2 linked regions of the Macaca mulatta genome follow. Each later gene encodes a partner of the first gene's protein in a complex. Links are inferred from orthologs where the notes say so. Each region holds a gene or a part of one and is shown in the gene's direction. Other genes may lie near its edges. The genes, in order: RBL2 and LIN52.

Evidence for each region.
Region 2: RBL2 (region 1) and LIN52 share a complex: the UniProt entries of both Homo sapiens proteins name them as parts of the DREAM complex. The link is inferred for Macaca mulatta from reciprocal best matches to the Homo sapiens genes RBL2 and LIN52.

The regions. Positions count from the first base shown.
Region 1 is NC_133425.1:48,944,930-48,955,211, forward strand, and holds part of RBL2 (retinoblastoma-like protein 2), read left to right. Parts: intron 1-485; coding exon 486-595; intron 596-1,288; coding exon 1,289-1,392; intron 1,393-2,980; coding exon 2,981-3,118; intron 3,119-4,014; coding exon 4,015-4,179; intron 4,180-5,948; coding exon 5,949-6,060; intron 6,061-9,022; coding exon 9,023-9,292; intron 9,293-9,493; coding exon 9,494-9,774; intron 9,775-9,861; coding exon 9,862-10,038; intron 10,039-10,282. UniProt on the Homo sapiens protein: Key regulator of entry into cell division. Directly involved in heterochromatin formation by maintaining overall chromatin structure and, in particular, that of constitutive heterochromatin by stabilizing histone methylation.
Region 2 is NC_133412.1:147,295,460-147,304,856, forward strand, and holds the end of LIN52 (protein lin-52 homolog), read left to right. Parts: intron 1-3,330; coding exon 3,331-3,491; 3' UTR 3,492-5,446; downstream 5,447-9,397.

The DNA.
Region 1 (10,282 bases):
TTGGGAGGCTGAGGCGGGTGGATCACTTAAGGCCAGGAGTTCGAGACCAGCCTGGCCAACATGGCCATCTCTACTAGAAATACAAAAATTAGCTGGGCGTGGTGGCAGGTGCCTGCAGTCCGAGCTACTTGGAGGCTGAGGCAGAAGAATCACTTGAACCTGGGAGGTGGAGGTTGCAGTGAGCCAGGATTGCACCACTGCATTCCATCCTGGATGACAGAGTGAGACTCTGTCTCAAAAAATAAATAAATATATAAAATAAAAGGTGTAGCCCCATACAAGAAAAGTTTTTTTTTTTTCCATTCCAACTGGTAATACCACCACCTTTGAAAAGGAAGTATAGGATCTCTTGGATTAATTTGGGAAGTGTATAGTTTCTGTTCAGAGTGTTTTATATGTACATGTTAGTGAAGTTATAGAAACATTTTATCCCCTTGTGACTTGCCAGGACCTTTAAATTATGTTATTTCTCATTACCTTTTTAGGACATGTTCCAGAGATCCAACCCAGGCTATTGCTAACAGACTGAAAGAAATGTTTGAAATATATTCTCAGCACTTCCAGCCAGATGAGGATTTCAGTAATTGTGCTAAAGGTAAGGTTTAATATTGTTATTCTGCTCTTATGTTTGAAGTTTAACTAAATGGAGTCATTTCTTACTAACTAAGAAAGATGAGGAAAAGATTTATGACTTTAGACTGAGGGCTAGGATATGGCTATCCAATTTTTCTGGTCAACCAAGTGATTTCTGAGCCCTTCTCAGTAAGATAGAAATTTTAGAGTGGTATTTTTATTTTAATGGACTTCTGATGCTTTTTTATCTGCAAATCTTTAGTTTTTTGTTTTTGTAAACTGGAAATGAAATAGAAGCGTAGTGATTCTTAACATATTGAGAATAAGGACAGAAGATATCACTGTTACGGGCCCTGGCCTGGGAATTGTTTGATGTCAGGAATTGGAACTAAGTAGGTGTGGAATAGTAAGCCAGTTACATACCTCTTAGCGTGGATTTGTTTTGTTCAACCATAGAGGGGATAAAAGGGTGTAAGTCTTAAATAATATTATAGTTCTTTATGTGCAAATTCATTTAATAATTTTAGAAAAATGTGACTGTTACCATGAAGAAAATTAAGGTATCTTAGGGATAATTAAAACACCAGTCATAAGAAGTTTGTATATCTAAAGTATTGGGTTGGTTTTTAAATTTTATTTTGTGAGTAAAGAAGGATGAATGGGCCTTTATTTTCTTTGTGTGCCATTTTTGTGGATTTTTTTATTATTTCTACAGAAATTGCCAGCAAACATTTTCGTTTTGCGGAGATGCTTTACTATAAAGTATTAGAATCTGTTATTGAGCAGGAACAAAAAAGACTAGGAGACATGGATTTATCTGTGAGTAAAATAACCAATGTATTGATCAGCACAGTAAAACATAATTTCCTTCCTGCCCCATTCTGTAGGTTGTTTTTTTACTTTATTTATAGTCTCCTTTCATGCACAGAAGTTTTTAATTTTGATGAAATCCAATTTATTTTTTCACTAGTTGCCTGTGCTTTTTTTTTAATGTGTGTATGTGTGTATGTATGTATGTATGTATGTATGTATGTATGTATTATTTGAGATGGAGTCTTGCACTGTCGCCCAGGCTTGAGTATAATGGCACGATCTCAGCTCAATGCAACCTCTGCCTCCTGGGTTCAAGCAATTCTCCTGCCTCAGTCTCCCAAGTAGCTGGGATTATAGGCATGTGCCACCATGCCCAGCTAAGTTTTGTATTTTCAGTAGAGACGGGGTTTTGCCATGTTTGGCCAGGCAGGTCTGGAACCCCAGACGTCAGGTGGTCTGTGCGCCTTGGCCTCCCAAAGTGCTAGGATTACAGGCGTGAGCCACTGCGCCTGGCCTGTTACCTGTGCTTTTGGTGCCTCAGTAGCTTTTAATTAAAAAATAATAATTGTTTACAATGTTGGAAAATTATAAGCAAAAAGAAGAAAATAAAAATCACCTATGATTAATGTCATCCTGTGATAAACATATTGACTTTTGGTACATGGTCATCTAGCCAGTCACCTGCCTGCTTGCTTTTCTGTTTTTTTGGGTTTGTTGTTGAGACAGAGTCTCACTCTGTTGCCCAGGCTAGAGTGTAGTGGTACAATCTTGGCTCACTGCAACCTCTGCCTCCCAGATTCAAGCGATTCTTGAACAGTATTGCCCAGGCTGGTCTCAAACTCTGGACCTCAAGTGATCTGCCCGCCTTGGCCCCCCAAAGTGCTGGGATTATAGGTATGAGCCACCCGCCTGGCCCCTTTCAATTTTTTTTTTTTCTTTTTTTTCTCTCTTTTTTTTTTTCAGCCAGAGTTTCACTCTTGTTGCCCAGGCTGGAGTGCAGTGGTGCAGTGTTGGCTCACTGCAGCCTCTACCTCCTGGGTTCAAGTGCTTCTCCTGCCTCAGCCTCTGAGTAGCTGGGACTACAGGTGTGTGCCACCACACCTGGCTAATTTTCTATTTTTAGTAGAGATGGGGTTTCACCATGTTGGTCAGGCTGGTCTCGAACTCCTGACCTCAGGTGATCTGCCCACCTTGGCCTCCCAAAGTGCTAGCATTACAGGCATAAGCCACCGCGCCTGGCCCCCCTTTCAGTTTTTTATAGCACTGACTGTAAATACTGTTTTGAAACATCTTTCTCTGTCATTGTTCTTCTAAGCATCAGGGGGTGTGTGTATTTTGGTTAGAGATGTAATCTCTTTTAAGATATAATAGGTAAGGTTTTAAAAGTCTCATACATTCCTTTAATATGTTTCCTCTACTAAAAAATGGGCTTTATTTATATAATTAAGAAAGGTTTTGTAAGAAAATAAGCATACACTTTGCACTCAGTCAGAAAATGAGACTTTCTTTGGTATTTTCACTTAAATTCACTGGGTATGAAATGACTTTTTAGATTAAGTAAATGTTTCTGAATGCTAATAACTGTATTTTATAGGGTATTCTGGAACAAGATGCCTTCCACAGATCTCTGTTGGCCTGCTGCCTTGAGGTCGTCACTTTTTCTTACAAGCCTCCTGGGAATTTTCCATTTATTACTGAAATATTTGAAGTGCCTCTTTATCATTTTTATAAGGTATTTTTAAAAATATGATATAATGTGGATATTGTAGATGAGACCAACTTCCTGTTGTTAGTCATTTAGTTCAAGTTAACATCTAAGTATATTTATTCTGTTTTTAATTACATAATTAATCACTATTTGTGGAGTAGAAAAGAAATAGAATCTTAAGACCTATGTAAATTTTTTAATATTGTATGAAAGATCCATTTTGGGTAAAAGCTTTGATTCCTCTCTTTATGTAATAACAGTTTTTAGAATACTGTGATTTTTATGAGATGAGAAGGCTTAAAAAAGTAGCACACATGTCACTAGCTAATCTTGTATAGCAGCCTTTTTTTATTTTATGAAAATTAAATACCACTGTAAATGTCAGAAAAAAATGAAAGTTCTCTTTCATGTGTTACAGAGAGGCATAGAGTTAAAGCATTGATTTGGTAGCTATTTCTTGATACTGAGCATATGAGTTTATCTTAACTCTCATAAGATAGTCAAAACTAATTTTTATAGTGGTATAGATTAAATGTTTAGAGATTTTTATATGTATTAAATGTATAGTATAGATTTTATTAATATTAATAAAATTAATATTAATAAATATTTATATTTATTAATATTTTATTAAATGTATAATATAGATTTTACATATATTAAATGTATAGAAATTTTAAGAGTAATGTTTTCAACCTCAATATACATGTATTTTCATTAAAAACTTTTGAAATACATCACAATGTAAACCATTTTATATAATTCACATGGTTTGAACTATAATTATTTACAAAGACAGTAAAAGGAAGAGCAGCTGTTTCAAAATATTTCAACTTGTAATTTTTGACTAATTTCTTGTCTAAATATTCAAAAATATTTAATAATTATTATTCAGTGAATCAGGACATTTTTTATTTCAGGTGATAGAAGTATTCATTAGAGCAGAAGATGGCCTTTGTAGAGAGGTGGTAAAACACCTTAATCAGATTGAAGAACAGATCTTAGATCATTTGGCATGGAAACCAGAGTCTCCACTCTGGGAAAAAATTAGAGACAATGAAAACAGAGTTCCTACATGTGAAGAGGTTTGTGAAAATAACATCTTTTTATGAGAAAAATACATCAATATCTAATCTATTAATAATCCTTTTGGGGATGGGAGGGTGGCAATTGGGTTTAATATGTTGTAATTAATTACACCTTGTTATGAGAAAAACTTGGGACTGTAACGTCGTCCCTCTCTACCCGCAAATTAGGAAGGTGCCAAGAGACAAAGAATGACTCAGACAAGTCCAGCTTGGCAAGTAGATATGTTTATTAAGACTTAGATATGTAGGGGCTGGGCGCGGTGGCTCATGCCTGTAATCCCAGCACTTTGGGAGGCGGAGACCGGTGGATCACCTGAGGTTGGGAGTTTGAGACCAGCCTAACCAACATGGAGAAAACCCGTCTCTATAAAAATACAAAAAATTAACCAGGCGTGGTGATGCATGCCTGTAATCCCAGCTACTTGGGAGGATGAGGCGGAAGAATTGCTTGAACCCCGGGAGGTGGAGGTTGTGGTGAGCCAAGATTGTGCCATTGCACTTCAGTCTGGGCAACAAAAGCGAGACTCCGTCCCAAAAAAAAAAAGAGAGACTTACATACGGAGGAGGCAGAGGTGGTGGGGAAAAATAAAAGACTTATATACAGGGTACTCCTAGGTAGCAGCAGGACAGCTCTAGAGATCCTCACCACCTCCCATTGCTAAGCTGCTAATTTTCTGGCTCTTTGCCTACTATGTGTGTGCACGATGGGACTGTTTTCCTTGGTAGTTTCTCAGATCCTCTCTGGGATGTTTGGGTTATCAGGGACACCTGCTCCTTGGCTGGGCACCATGGCCTTGGCTCACTACCCAGCCTTCAGGGTTTAGGCAGCAGACATACACCCTTAAGTAAGGTAAGTGACCTGTCATACTTCACCCCATGTCAAAGAGGAAACGAGTCAGATAATTTGTAGTTGTCCTAAGATTTTGGTGACAGAGTAAAAATTCAGTGTTCTTTCTTGATTTCCTTATCAGGTTTCTCTCCCATAGAGCAGTGGTCCAACCTTTTTGGCACCAAGGACCAATTTCATGGAAGACAATTTTTCCATGGACAGGGTTGGGGGTGGGAGAGATTTTGGGATGATTCAAATGCCTTACATTTATTGCACACTTTATTTCTATTATTATTACGTGGTAATATATAATGAAATAATTACATAATTCACCAAAATATACAGTCAGTGGGAGCCCTGAGCTTGTCTTCCTGCAACTAGATGGTCCCATCTGGAGGTGGTGGGAGACAGTGACAGATGAGCAGGCATTAGATTCTCATAAGGAGCATGCAACCTAGATCCCTTACGTGTGCAGTTCACAATAGGGTTCACACTCCTATGAGAATCTAATGCCACCACTAATCTGACAGGCGGCCAGCACAGGTAGCAATGTGAGTGATGGGGAGCAGCTATAAATACAGATGAAGCTTTGCTCACTTGCTTACTTGCCTGCTGCTCACTTCCTGCTATGTTGCCCGGTTCCTAACAGGGTCCACGGCCCAGGGGTTGGGGACCCCTGCTTTAGAGTGGTTGATATTCAAACTCTCCAAACCAGTAATGAAGGTTGACTCATATTTAGTATCCAATTACAAGGTTTTGCATTTTTTGACTGACAAAAGTTTTTTTTTTTTAACTTTATTATGAAAATGGGAAAGACAGCTGATTTTATTTAGATGGAATAATCGTTAAGAGACTTTTTCCGCCTTAGATTACTATTGGATTTCTAATTAAAGTGCTGTTTTGGATCCTGGCATTCTGTGTAACCAATTCTTCACAGGTCATGCCACCTCAGAACCTGGAAAGGGCAGATGAAATTTGCATTGCGGGCTCCCCTTTGACTCCCAGAAGGGTGACTGAAGTTCGTGCTGATACTGGAGGTCTTGGAAGGAGTAAGTTTAAAATACTAGGGGAATATTTTGGGGCTTACTATCTGGAAATTTAAATTTTATTTAACCCTATAAGTGAAGTTAATAGGGTATATATTAGAAGAAAATATTCCATGCATTTTTGTGTCACATGAATCACTTAAAAGAAGGGCCTTTAAAGACTATTTAAGAACACAGGAAAATGCATGATATAACAGGTATCTTTTAAAAGGATAGACGATAGACTGCTATATTTATTTAATTTTTTTTTTTCTTTTGAGACAGAGTCTCGCTCTGTCGCTCAAGCTAGAGTGCAGCAGCCCAATCTCAGCTCACTGCAACCTCTGCCTGCCGGGTTCAAGCAATTCTCATGCCTCACCCTCCTGAGTAGATGGGACTACGGGCATGCGCCACCACGCCTAGCTAATTTTTTGTATTTTTGTAGAGACGTTTTGCCATATTGGCCAGGCTGGCCTCGAACTCCTGACTTGAAGCAATCCGCCTGCCTCGGCCTCCCAAAGTGCTAGAATTACAGGCATGAGGCACTGTGCCTGGCCGACTGCTATATATTTAATATGATCCCTATTTTTAAAGTGTATGTTTATTTATGAGCATGCAAAATGGTGGAAATGGAAAAACCAAACTGTTAAGATCATTGTTGGGTGATAGAATTCCTGGTGATTTCTGTAAAATTTTTAAGGCAAATACGTATTACTTTTAAAATCAGGAGAAATAGAAAAGCCTTCTTAAAGATAGAGCTGCATGATCCAGTTAGGTATAGACAAGGCAGTGAGTTAAGACAACTGAGTGTGTTCTACTGTGTTGAGCTGTGCTACCCTAGTTAATGACATTACTGCTGGCCCAAGAAATACAGAAAAGGGCAGTTTTGCTATCCATCTGGTTTATATTTTTTAGGCAGCTGCTTAGAAGATCTGCAAGGTGAAAGGTTTTAGTTTACATATGTGAGAGAGAACTGCTTTTTAAAGAGCAATTCAGTAAATCCAGAGAGTTCTAAATCCTTGGATCCAATTCAAAGAATATCCTTATTTCTAGATCACTTTTATAATGTAATTGGTAAGAACTGGCTACAGAAGAAATACGAGTTTTAAAGTCAGGAATCACTCTAGGCTGGGCATGGTGGCTCATGCCTGTAACCGCTGCACTGTGGGACACCTAGTCGGGAGGATCGCTTGAGCCCAGGAGTTCAAGACCATCCTGGGCAACATAGCAAGATGCCATCTCTACCCCCCCCCAAAAAAAAACAAAAATCACTCTAGGTCAGTGTATACTTAATAGACATGGATGATCCTTATGAAAAGTCCTTATTTTTGAAAGATCTGACAGTTGGTCTTTCTTAGTCTATTTTTGTAGAATTTTCCCTTCCCTAATCTACAGATTAGGAAGACTTGACTTTAAACTTCATTTTCTTTGTACTTATCACTTCTCAGTTTTCCTGAGATCTCTTGATATTTTACAAGAAAAAATGATCATAATGTATTCTTTCTGATTCTGCAGCGTTGTATCAAATACAAATCTAGTAAGTTTATTTACTTTTGTTATCATCTGGAAATTGAAATGTTAAGCCACAATTTATTAGTATTTACTCCTATCAATACTTCTTACAAACTTCCTACATATGTTTTAAAATTTAAAAACACACTGATGCACAGCTCTTAGAGGTGGACACAGAAGAAGGAAGAAATGCTTCTCAAAAATTCATACATTATTGTGAATACTTAAAAATAGACTAAGCCTTAATAGGTTGTTCAGATAATGAAGAAGTTTTACAAACAGTGGTGATTGTTGTGGCCACATTGTAAATGTAATTGATACCACTGAATCATACACTTAATCGTACCACTGAATCGTATACTTAAAAATGGATGAAATGGTAAATTTTGTTATATAAATATATATACATATATATATTTATAAATATATATAAATATATATACAAATATATTTATAAATATATATACAAATATATATATTTATATATTAAAATATACATATTTATATATATATTTTTTAAACCCACAATTTTAAAAAACTAGCCTGTAATACCAGCACTTTGGGAGGCCAAGGCGGGTGGATCACCTGAGGTCAGGAGTTTGAGACCAGCCTGGCCAACATGGTGAAACCCCATCTCTACTAAAAATACAAAAATTAGCCATGCCTGGTGGCATATGCCTCTAATCCCAGTTACTCAGGAGGCTGAGGCACAAGAATCACTTTAACCCAGGAGGCAGAGGTTGTATTGAGCCAAGATCAGGCCACTGCACTCCAGCCGGGGTGATAGAGTAAGACTCTATGTCTCAAAAAATAAAAAAAAATAACAGTTTACCCCAAACCATTGAATTGTACAATTTAAGTGGATGAAATTTATGGTATATAAACTGTTTTAAAAAAATAAATTATGCTTAATTGAATCCAAATCATGCATGTCTACCTTGCTTAAGAACATTATTGAGTTTTAATAATTTTTATATGTGGAAAAAGACAAAGATCAAAATTGATAAAACTGGTGGCGGAATGCTCCTAGATGACATACTACCAATCATGTCCCCTTAAGAAGTAGTGGCTCTATAGTAAAATCACATCTTACGTGAGTGGTAGGTGGAAACTAAATATGGCAGAAAATATTATAGAAAAATGTAGTACAGAAAAAAAGGGTAATTCCTTAAATCATGAAGGTTCTTCAGTAGTGGAAGACAGAGTCGGGTCTGATTTGGGAAAGGGGGAGTGGAGAAAGGAGCACTGCAAGACAAAAAATTCCATTTTAAAATTTGCTCTCAGTTGTGTTCACTGAACACTAATGAAAACTCACTAATGGATATAGGTAAGATGACTTGTGTAATTCTTGTTTGCTTTTTGAATTATGAAGTATTTCAAACACTGTAGTTATTTTTGAACATAACAGCTTGGATGAAAGTCAGATCTGAGTCTCCTTCAGTGAAATGCTTTGTTTGATTTGTTTTGAACCTAGGCATAACATCTCCAACCACATTATACGATAGATACAGCTCCCCACCAGCCAGCACTACCAGAAGGCGGCTATTTGTTGAGAATGATAGCCCCTCTGATGGAGGGACACCTGGGCGCATGCCCCCACAGCCTCTAGTCAATGCCGTCCCTGTGCAGAATGTATCTGGGGAGGCTGTTTCTGTCACACCGGTTCCTGGACAGACTTTGGTCACCATGGCAACCGCCACTGTCACAGCCAACAATGGGCAAACAGTAACCATTCCTGTGCAAGGTAAGGAAGGCAGAGTTGGATATTGAGTTCCTTCTCTGTGGCGTGTATTGAAAAGTTACCCGAGGTTTGGCTAGAGTGACGTAGGGGACAGAGGAGTGATGGGGAGAGAGGGTTCAGGAGAGGAGAAATTGTAAACCTCTGCCTGGAGAACCTCTTATTATCAACATTTTCTTCATGCCTTTTTTCTCTGTCACAAACTAGGTATTGCCAATGAAAATGGAGGGATAACATTCTTCCCTGTCCAAGTCAATGTTGGGGGGCAGGCACAAGCTGTGACAGGCTCCATCCAGCCCCTCAGTGCTCAGGCCCTGGCTGGAAGTCTGAGCTCTCAACAGATGACAGGAACAACTTTGCAAGTCCCTGGTCAAGTGGCCATTCAACAGATTTCCCCAGGTGGCCAACAGCAGAAGCAAGGCCAGTCTGTAACCAGCAGTAGTAATAGACCCAGGAAAACCAGCTCTTTATCACTTTTCTTTAGAAAGGTAATTTTTCACGTACTCTTACCAGAGCATGAGCTTGGGAAATACAAGTGTTAAACACAGTTTGAAATGTTTTTGTTTATCTCCTAGGTATACCATTTAGCAGCTGTCCGCCTTCGGGATCTCTGTGCCAAACTAGATATTTCAGATGAACTGAGGAAAAAAATCTGGACCTGCTTTGAATTCTCCATAATTCAGTGTCCTGAACTTATGATGGACAGACATCTGGACCAATTATTAATGTGTGCCATTTATGTGATGGCAAAGGTGAGTACCATTTTGGAACTGTAAAGGCAAATATAGGTCTTCATTACTGAGAACATTTTTTAACCGCTTTCTTGAAGTACAATTTACATGCTCTATAATTCATCTATTTAAAATGCACAACTAAAAGGGTCTTAGTATATTCACAGATATGTGCAATACTCACCACAATTTTAAAACAGAATATTCCATTATATAGTTATATGAGAGTATTTTTATCCATTTATTAGGTAATACATATTTTAGT
Region 2 (9,397 bases), on another chromosome or scaffold:
AAAAAAAAAAAAAATTAAGATGTCCCCATTCAAAACTTAATACTTTATCCCATTAATCTATATTGATGAAGTTGTCTATACAACTTTACTATTTGGTACTTTATTTGATGGTAGTAACTAGAAAAACTTTTGCTATCAGGAAGCAGAAATTTCCACAGCTAGCCTGTGGTATACTAGACTTCTCTACCCTCTGGGCATGTGATTTTCAAATAAGTGATCATTTACATTTAGAAGTTGTTTCCTATCTAGATAAAATTCTAAACAGCTCTTTTGATTTGTAATTTTATTATATAAAGGAGGGAAGGGAGAGTATAACTGTGATTCTTATACCTTTTTGTTTTTTTTGAGACAGGGTCTCTGTTGCCCAGGCTAGAGTCCAGTGGTGCAGTCATAGCTCACTGCAGCCTTGACCTCCCAGGTTCAAGCAGTCCTCCCAGCCCAGCCTCTTGAGTAGCTGGAACCACAGGAGAGTGCTACTATGCCTGACTTGATTTTTTTTTTTTTTTTTGTAGAGATGGGGTCTCCCTATGTTGTCCAGGCTGGCTTCATCCTCCTGGGCTCAAGCAGTCGTCCTGCCTCAGCCTCCCAAAACGCTGGGATTATAGGTGTGAACCATCATGCCCTGCCCCTGGGTATTTTTTTTTCTTTGTGTTATTTATTTATTTATGTATTTTTGTGGGCTGACATCTGAATTATTTGTCTGGCTTCCCTTATTAGGCCTATTAAGTTCTACCTCTCATATAATTAAATTAATAGCCCTTGACTGAGGAGAAAAATCATCTAGCCTTTAACCTCTAGATGGCAGCATGAGTCTTTCTGTACCACTAACAGACTCTCTTGAACTGGGTTTTTGATCTATATAAAAACTTATTGTGATTTATTTATTTATTTTTTTTTTGAGACAGAGTTTCGCTCTTGTTGCCCAGGCTGGAGTGCAATGGCTTGATCTCGGCTCACTGCAACCTTCGCCTCCCGGGTTCAAGCTATTCTCCTGCCTCAGCCTCCTGAGTAGCTGGGATTACAGGCATGCACCATCATGCCAGGCTAATTTTGTATTTCTGGTAGAGATGGGGTTTCTCTATGTTGGTCAGGCTGGTCTTGAACTCCTGACCTCAGGTGATCCACCCACCTTGGCCTCCCAAAGTGCTGGGATTACAGGCATGAGCCACAGCGCCTGGCCTCTTCTTGTGATTTTTACCAGACCACTTGCCTAACTTTGTTGATACTTTGTTGATTTTGATTTTTAGCTTTTTGTTTTTCTTTTTATCTCTTCATCGTTTTTTACATGTTTCCTTTTTTTTTTTTTTTTTTTTTTTTCAATTTTTTTTGAGACAGGTTTCATTCACTCTGTCACCCAGGCTGGAGTGTAGCGGTGCAATCTCAGCTCGCTGCAACCTCTGCCTCTGGTTCAAGCGATTCTCCCACTTAGTACAAAAAAATTCTAAAAATGTGATTAATTCAATACCTTTTATATCTGCATATAAGACCCTAAAAATGGGTTAAGTTATCTTATCTCAGTAATTTCCCCTACCAGTGGCTTATCTTGTATCCTTGGACTCTGTTGGTTTTCAGTGGTATCAGGCAATGAATGCTCTATTACATTAAACAGGAATGTTAGCTAAAGTTGATGAAACTACCTTGGACTGATTAGTCCTTCAAGAACAATTTAATTGTTTTAAAATAAAGCTTTCAAATATTTAACCATTTTGAATAGCAAAAGAATGAAGTGTCCTGTTTAGCAACTGTTTGGGTGACTACTTCATACAAGGCTATGTAGGGGATAGGAAGATAATTACTGCCCTCGTGTAGATTAAAATCTAGTACGAAAGGAAGATAAGACAACTAAGGTAAATGATTCTTAAAAAAATATAGAGGAGAAAAGCTCTATGAGAGTACAAAGAACTATATGGATAGGGGAGAAGAGGACAATTGCATCAGATTGCTACAGGAGTGGCAGGTAAGTTTCATTTATAGTAAGACCTGCCTAGAACCATTGAATTGACAAGGATTTTGAGAGGGAGCCTAGATTCAGAGGAGAAGGCAATTAGTGATGTCTGTTATAGACAAGGGAAATGAGTGTAGTAATATGTGCAATTTCTGGAACATTGAAAATAAACCTGGCCAGGTGCAGTGGCTCACGCCTATAATCCCAGCTCTTTGGAAGGCCGAGTTGGGTGATCACCTGAGGCCAGGAGTTCAAGATCAGCCTGGCCAACATGGTGAAACCCTGCCTCTACTAAAAATAAAAAAATTAGCCAGGCGTGGTGGCCGGCGCCTGTAATCTCAGCTACCCAGGAGGCTGAGGCGGGAGAATGACTTGATTCCGGGAGGCAGAGGTTGCAGTGAACTGAGATGATGCCACTGCACTCCAGCCTGGGTGACAGAGCGAGACTCTGTCTCAAAAAAAAAAAAAAAGGAAGGAAGGAAGGAAAGAAAACTTTAAAGAACACAGAGATGGGTAGAAATGGAAAGGGAGCATATTCTAGGTAGAGCGAATGTTAAAGAGTTTGAAAGCAACAGCTATGTTCAAGGAATGGTGTGAGTGGCTGAATCTAGACCCCAGGTTATATTAGGTCTCATAATGACTAAGACTAGGAAGGAGATAGAGGGGCCAGACTGAGGAGGGCCTTGAACTCCAGGGATCAAGGAGTTATACTCAGTGGTAGTAGGGAGCATGTGAAATGTTCTTTAAAAAGTATCTTGGCCGGGCGTGATGGCTCATGCCTGTAATCCCAGCACTTTGGGAGGCTGAGGCAGGCGGATCATGAGGCCAGGAGATCAAGACCATCCTGGCTAACACGGTGAAACCCCGTCTCTACTAAAAAAATACAAAAAAACAAATTAGCCAGGCGTGGTGGCGGGCACCTGTAGTCCCAGCTACTCGGGAGGCTGAGGCAGGAGAATGGCGTGAACCTGGGAAGTGGAGGTTGCAGTGAGCCCAGATCGTGCCACTGCACTCCAGCCTGGGTGACAGAGCGAGACTCCGTCTCAAAAATAAAAAAAATAAAAAAAAGTATTCTAATGCTATCACATTAACTGTGTGCATTATAGATGGTTTGGGGAGACACTTTACTAAAAGATATTTTACTACAATTTTTTTATTGTAAAAGTAAAGAAGAAAGTAAAAAAAAGAAAACCAACAAACCATAGCCTTACCACTAAGAGATAACCACTATTAACATTTCATGTGTTTCCTGGCCCCACTTTTAGTCCCTTTATGTGTCTATGTGTGTGTTTATATTTATACTTGCATCCGTTCATGTACCATGTACACAGATAATGCTTCTTTTCTTTCTTTTCTTTCTTTTTTTTTTTTTTTTTTTGAGACAGGGTCTCCCTCTGTCACCCAGGCTGGAGTGCAATGGCGCAATCTTGGCTCACTGCAACCTCTACCTCTCGGGCTCAAGCAAGTCCCCCACTTCAGCTTCCCAAGTAGCTGGGACCACAGGTGTGAGCCACAGCGCCTGGCCAGAAATGCTTTTTTAATATAACTGAGATTGTTGTGTGTGTGCGTGTAGTTTTAACTTGTGCTTTAAAAAATTTTATTCTATCTTAAGCATTTTCCTGTGTCATTAAAGGTTCTACCACTGAAGATTTTTGAATAGGAAAGATAAACACCTTTAGGAAGCATTAGTGCACAGGAGAGAATAGGATGGTAGAGACAGGAGGCAGGAAGTTACAGTGGGAATCCAGGATGAAGGATTGAGAGTTTGGATGGTGGCAGTAAGAATGGGAAGAAGTACACTGACAATAGATTTTTCAGATTTGGAATTTTTAGGAGTAGGTAAATGTCTGGATGGGGATGTTACGGGATAAGCTGAAGTTAGAGCTTACCATGATGTTTTAGCCTAATTAATGACAGGGAAGTCAGAAGGAGGCTAGATGCCTGCTTAACAACAACAACAACAACAAAAATCACATAATTCTTTTACATGCTCCTTTGTAGGAAGGCATCTTTATTTTCTTAGAAATAAGTAAATGTCATTTGTAGAGGTTAGAGGTTAGTGTTATTAATAAGATGTCTAGTTCAGTCATATTACCTAGGCAACAGGTAATGTTTTAGATAGTGAACGGTGAGTTATTTGATCTGAAAGAAATCAATAGGTGAAATAGGATATCCATAACTTCAGAAATTGACTTGTGAAGTCCCTATTTTCTTTGGCTGGTCATTAGGCTGCTAAGTAGAATGACTGACTTTTGTATAGTTTTCTTTTCTTTGAGACAGAGTCTCGCTGTGTCACCCAGGCTGGAGTGCAGTGGTGCGATCTTGGCTCACTGCAAGGTCCACCTCCTGGGTTCATGCCATTCTCCTGCCTCAGCCTCCCTAGTAGCTGGGACTACAGGTGCCCGCCACCACGCCCGGCTAAGTTTTTGTATTTTTAGTAGAGCTGAGGTTTTATCGTGTTAGCCAGAATGGTCTCCATCTCCTGACCTCATGATCCGCCCGCCTCAGCCTCAGAAAGTGCTGGGATTACAGGCATGAGCCACCGCGCCCAGCCTTTTGTATAGTTTTCTTCCACAGTAGTGCTTTTTCATTCGGGTACCTACCTATGAACTTTTCCTGAACTTTCCTACAAGTTTAGAAAGTTGTCATGGCCTCTGTATACGGTAGACATCCAGTTCTTTGTTAACTGGAAAAAAGTTTCAGAAGTTTAAATCTGAAGTAACAGGAATTGGTCCAAAATATTTGTTGTTGCTCGTGTTTTAAGTAAGTGACATTGGATTATATCAGCACTGGGATAACTCTCGTTAGGTGTTATGACTGCAATTTACATGCAATTGGAGATTAGTGATTGAGAGGGAAACAAACTGCCAAATTATCTTCCAAAAAGGTACTCCCCACTCCATATCCTTGCTAATAACAAGTATTATAATTTTTTAAAGTCATTGCCAACTTGATAGGCAAAATATTAATGTGTTGTTCTAATGTTCATTTCTTCTATTGTGAAGATGAGCTTTTTTTTTTTTTTTTCATGTTTCTTGATCCTATCTGTTGACGAGGGCTGGAAGTTAAAGATTTAAGTATAAATTTAAATTATTTTAACCTGAAAAATAAAGCCAGGGAACTTGATTCAAAAGCACCCTAAAGACATTGTGTTGAAATCTGTGTCTCAAATACCGATGGAACCTTATCCTTGTTTTCTTTGTTTTGTGCATTACTTTACCATCTTGCCATGGTCATTAGCTTTGTACCTATTTAGGTTACAGCATAAAATCCAGGAACTCCACCTTGAAGGGATCATGGTTATTCTTCTTAATTAGAAATTGTCAATTTAGCCTTAAGTATTTTGTTTTTTAAAATGTTTTATGATATTGTGAAATAAATCATGCCGTTATTTCTCATTTTTCCTTTGGTTAACAAATTAGGATATACAAATCTTCAAATTACCTTTAAGGCTTGTAAACATTCAAATCTTTTATCCGTTAGTCATTTCATAAACCCAACATTGCCTCTGAAATGGCTTTACACACAAAGAGGATTTTACCATAAAATGCTTGTGGTAGTTTATTCTCTTCTGATTTTTTGTAGGGGAAGGGGAGAGGAGAGTAGGCAGAATATAAATTAATTTGGATGGTGTTGGTTTCAAAGTAGCATTCCATATAATTCTGCAGAAAATATGATAAATAAGAAAATGGGCCAGGCACTGTGGCTCATGCCGTAATCCCAGCACTTTGGGAGGCCAAGGCGGGCAGATCACCTGAGATTGGGAGATTGAGACCACACTGGCCAATATGGTGAAACCCTGTCTCTACTAAATACAAAACCTAACCAGGTGTGGTGGCACATGCCTGTGGTCCCAGCTACTGGGGAGGCTGAGGCATGAGAATCGCTTGAACCCAGGAGATAGAGGTTATAGTGAGCCAAGATCAAGCCACTGCGCTCCAGCCTGGGCAACAGAGTGAGACTCTGTCTCAAAAATAAAAAATAAAGTACATAGTAAAACAAAGTTCAACATTTGGGAAATAGCAGGTCAATTACAGTGTTACCCATACAGGAGAATACAATGTAGTCATTAAAAAACATTAAAAGGACTGGCCACCGTGGCTTATGCCTGTAATCCCAGCACTTTGGGAGGCCAAGGTAGGCAGATCACTTGAGGTCAGGAGTTCGAGACCAGCCTGGCCAAGCTCGTGAAACCCCATCTCTACTAAAAATACAAAAATCAGTTGCTCGTAGTGGTGGACACCTGTAATCCCAGCTACTCTGGAGACTGAAGCAGGAGAATCACTTGAACCCAGGAGGTGGAGCCTGCAGTGAGCTGCCAAGATTGTGCCACTGCACTCCAGCCTGGATGACAGAGTAGGACTATGTCTCTTAAAAAAAAAAAAAAAAAAAAAAAAAAGCACTAAAGGGCATTTCATGCCAGAAAGGTTTCATTATATATAAGGATAATAGCAAGTGACAAAATGCAGAATATAAAATTTTACAGCAGGTATCTTTTTTTTTTTTTCTTTTGAGAGCATGAACATAGACAAATGGCTAGAAGGAAATACATCAGTATGTTTTAATGGCTATCTTGAGTGGTTTTTAAAAATTTCTAAATTTTCCAAATTTACAATAAACATTCTAGGCTGTTGAATAGGAAAAATACTACTTTAAAAAACAGGGAAAAGTTGTATGCCATTTTAGAAACAAAATTGTACTTACATCTCTGAATTTTCTAGGCAGTTAAATTTTTGAGCTCTTCTGTGAACTGTTTCTAAATAAAAATGAGTAGATCCATTAACAACAATTGATCAGTTTATACAAGTGATAAATAGCAAGGTGAACGTTTCCCATACATACCTCATTTCCCATACTTAGGATGCCCTTGCATAAATCGAAATTAGGAGCAAAAGAAATGGTAGGCTGTTGGGTCATGGGCAAGAGATGATTTAGTTGGCCAAAGGGCATATTTTCTTAAGCAAATGTTGGCCAAGATGTTACTTTATGTTTTCAGACTGTCTTCGCTATAGTTGGAGAACTGTGAACTCTTAGTATTAACTACTCATTAGGAGCAAAGAACCATTTGGAATGTCTGTCAGTCTTAAATAGAACTGCAGCTGTTTGGCTGAGAGGTGAAATGGACCTGGAATTTTGGTTTTGTTTTTTTTTTTTTTTTGAGGCGGGGGGGCTTTGAAAGTAGTTTTGGTATAACAAAGAGGTGATGAGAACTAAGTAATTACAAAAGTGTTCATAGCAGTTCAGTTTCTTTCCAGCCTTTGGGTTTGAGAATGACTGTTTCTGCCCATGGGGAAATCAGTTGGTGTTTTTCTGATTTTGTTTGTTTGTTTTTTAAGTTATTGATGTTCTAGAAATTTCAACAAAATAAGGAGTGTTTTTGTATTTCAAATGTAGTGCCCGTTTCTTTATTTCTTTCTGGTTCTTGCCACTGGTTTGTGTTGATAATATGATCTGGAAGGGTAGTGATAGTGCATGGGAATTTGTAAATGATCACAAAGTACCTTGTCACAGGAAATCTAGAGAAATAATGACTTTGGCATATGTATAAGAGAAATATCTCTAACTGTTAAGTCTAAACTAAAAAGTTGGTACTTTGCTTTTACTTTTTGGTTTGGTATAACCAAAAAAAAAAAATTGAAAAATAAAATAGAAGCAATGATTTGTTTTCTCAGGTGTAGTTGTATTTGACTGACTCTATTGTAAGAAGACACGTTTAAGACTGAATGGTTGGATAATGGTAGGTGAATCTGATAGGCTGAAGTTTTGGATATGGAATGAAAAGAGAAGAGAGAGCTGGGCAAGCTGAGGATTCCTGTCATTCCAACTACTGGGAAAGCTGAGGTGGGAGGATCACCTGAGCCCTGGAGTTTGAGACTGCAGTGAGCTATGATCATGCCACTGCATTCCAGTCTGGATGACAGAGTGAGACCCTGTCTCAATAAATAAATAAAAAGAGAAAAGCACTAAAATGAGAATTCTGATTCAGAATATAAAAATATTCTACTGTCCCATTATTTTTTGTTCTTTAATAAGCTTTAACATTGACGTATAATGTATATAAAGAAAAGCACACAAATTATAATGTGCAGCTCTCAATGAATTTTCATAAAATTAACACTCTCCTGTAACCACTGGTCAAAACAGATCAAGATACAGAACGTTGCGCCTGGTGCTGTGGCTCATGCCTGTGATCCCAACACTTTGGGAGGCTGAGGCTGGCAGATAACTTGAGCTCAGGAGTTCCAGACCAGCCTGGGCAACATGACAAAATCTGGTCTCTACAAAATATACAAAAACTAGCCGGGCCTGCTGGTGTACACCTGTAGTCCTAGCTACTTAGGGAGGCTGAGGTAGGAGGATCCCCTGAACCTGGGAAGTCAAGGCTGGAGTGAACCAAGATTGCACCATTGTACTCCAGCCTGAGTGACAGGAGTGAGACCCTATCTCAAAAAAAAAAAACAAAACACCTTTCTAGTATATAAATACAAAATTTCCTTTGTACCCCTTCTAGTCCCTACTTGCCCCTTCCTCTCAAAGACAAGCATTACTGTGACTTATACTATCATAATTTTGTTTATCTTTGAACTTTATGTAAATAGAACAACAAATCATGTACTCTTTTGTGTCTGCCTTCTTTTGATCAGCGTTTAAATTATGACATCAGCTATATCATTTGGATTTTCTCCCATTGCTATGTAGTATTTCTGTAAGAAGTTACCACGATTTATTTTCTCATTCTACTAATGATGGACATTTGGACTGTTTCCAGCTTTTAGTTATTACAAATAAATACTGTTAGTATTTTTGATATATGTCTTTTTTTGGTACATGCATTTTCTTTTTTTTGAGACACAGTCTTGCTCTGTTGCCCAGGCTGGAGTGCAGTGGTGACATCTCGGCTCACTGCAAGCTTTGCCTCATGAGTTCACGCCATTCTCCTGCCTCAGCCTCCCGAGCAGCTGGGACTACAGGCACTCGCCACCAGGCCCAGCTAATTTTTTTTGTATTTTTAGTAGAGATGGGGTTTCACTGTGTTAGCCAGGATGGTCTTGATCTCCTGACCTCGTGATGCACCCACCTCGGCCTCCCAAAGTGCTGGGATTACAGGCATGAGCCACTGTGCCTGGCCAGTACATACATTTTCATTGGATATACAAGTAGGAAGTGGAATTGCTAGATCATAGGGGTATATATATATATTTAGCTTTAGTAGGTACTTCCAAATATTAATAGTTTTCCAAAGTGGTTATATCAATTTACAAGCCTAACAGCAATTTCAGTTGCTCCAAGTCCCTACCAACAGGTATATTCTCAGTCTTTTAACTTCTAGCCATTCTAGTAAATGGTATCTTAATGTGGTTTTAATTTGCGTTTTCTTAATGACTAATGAGGTTGAGCACCTTTTCATATGTTTATTGGCCATTTGGATAACATCTTTTGTGAAGTCCTTAT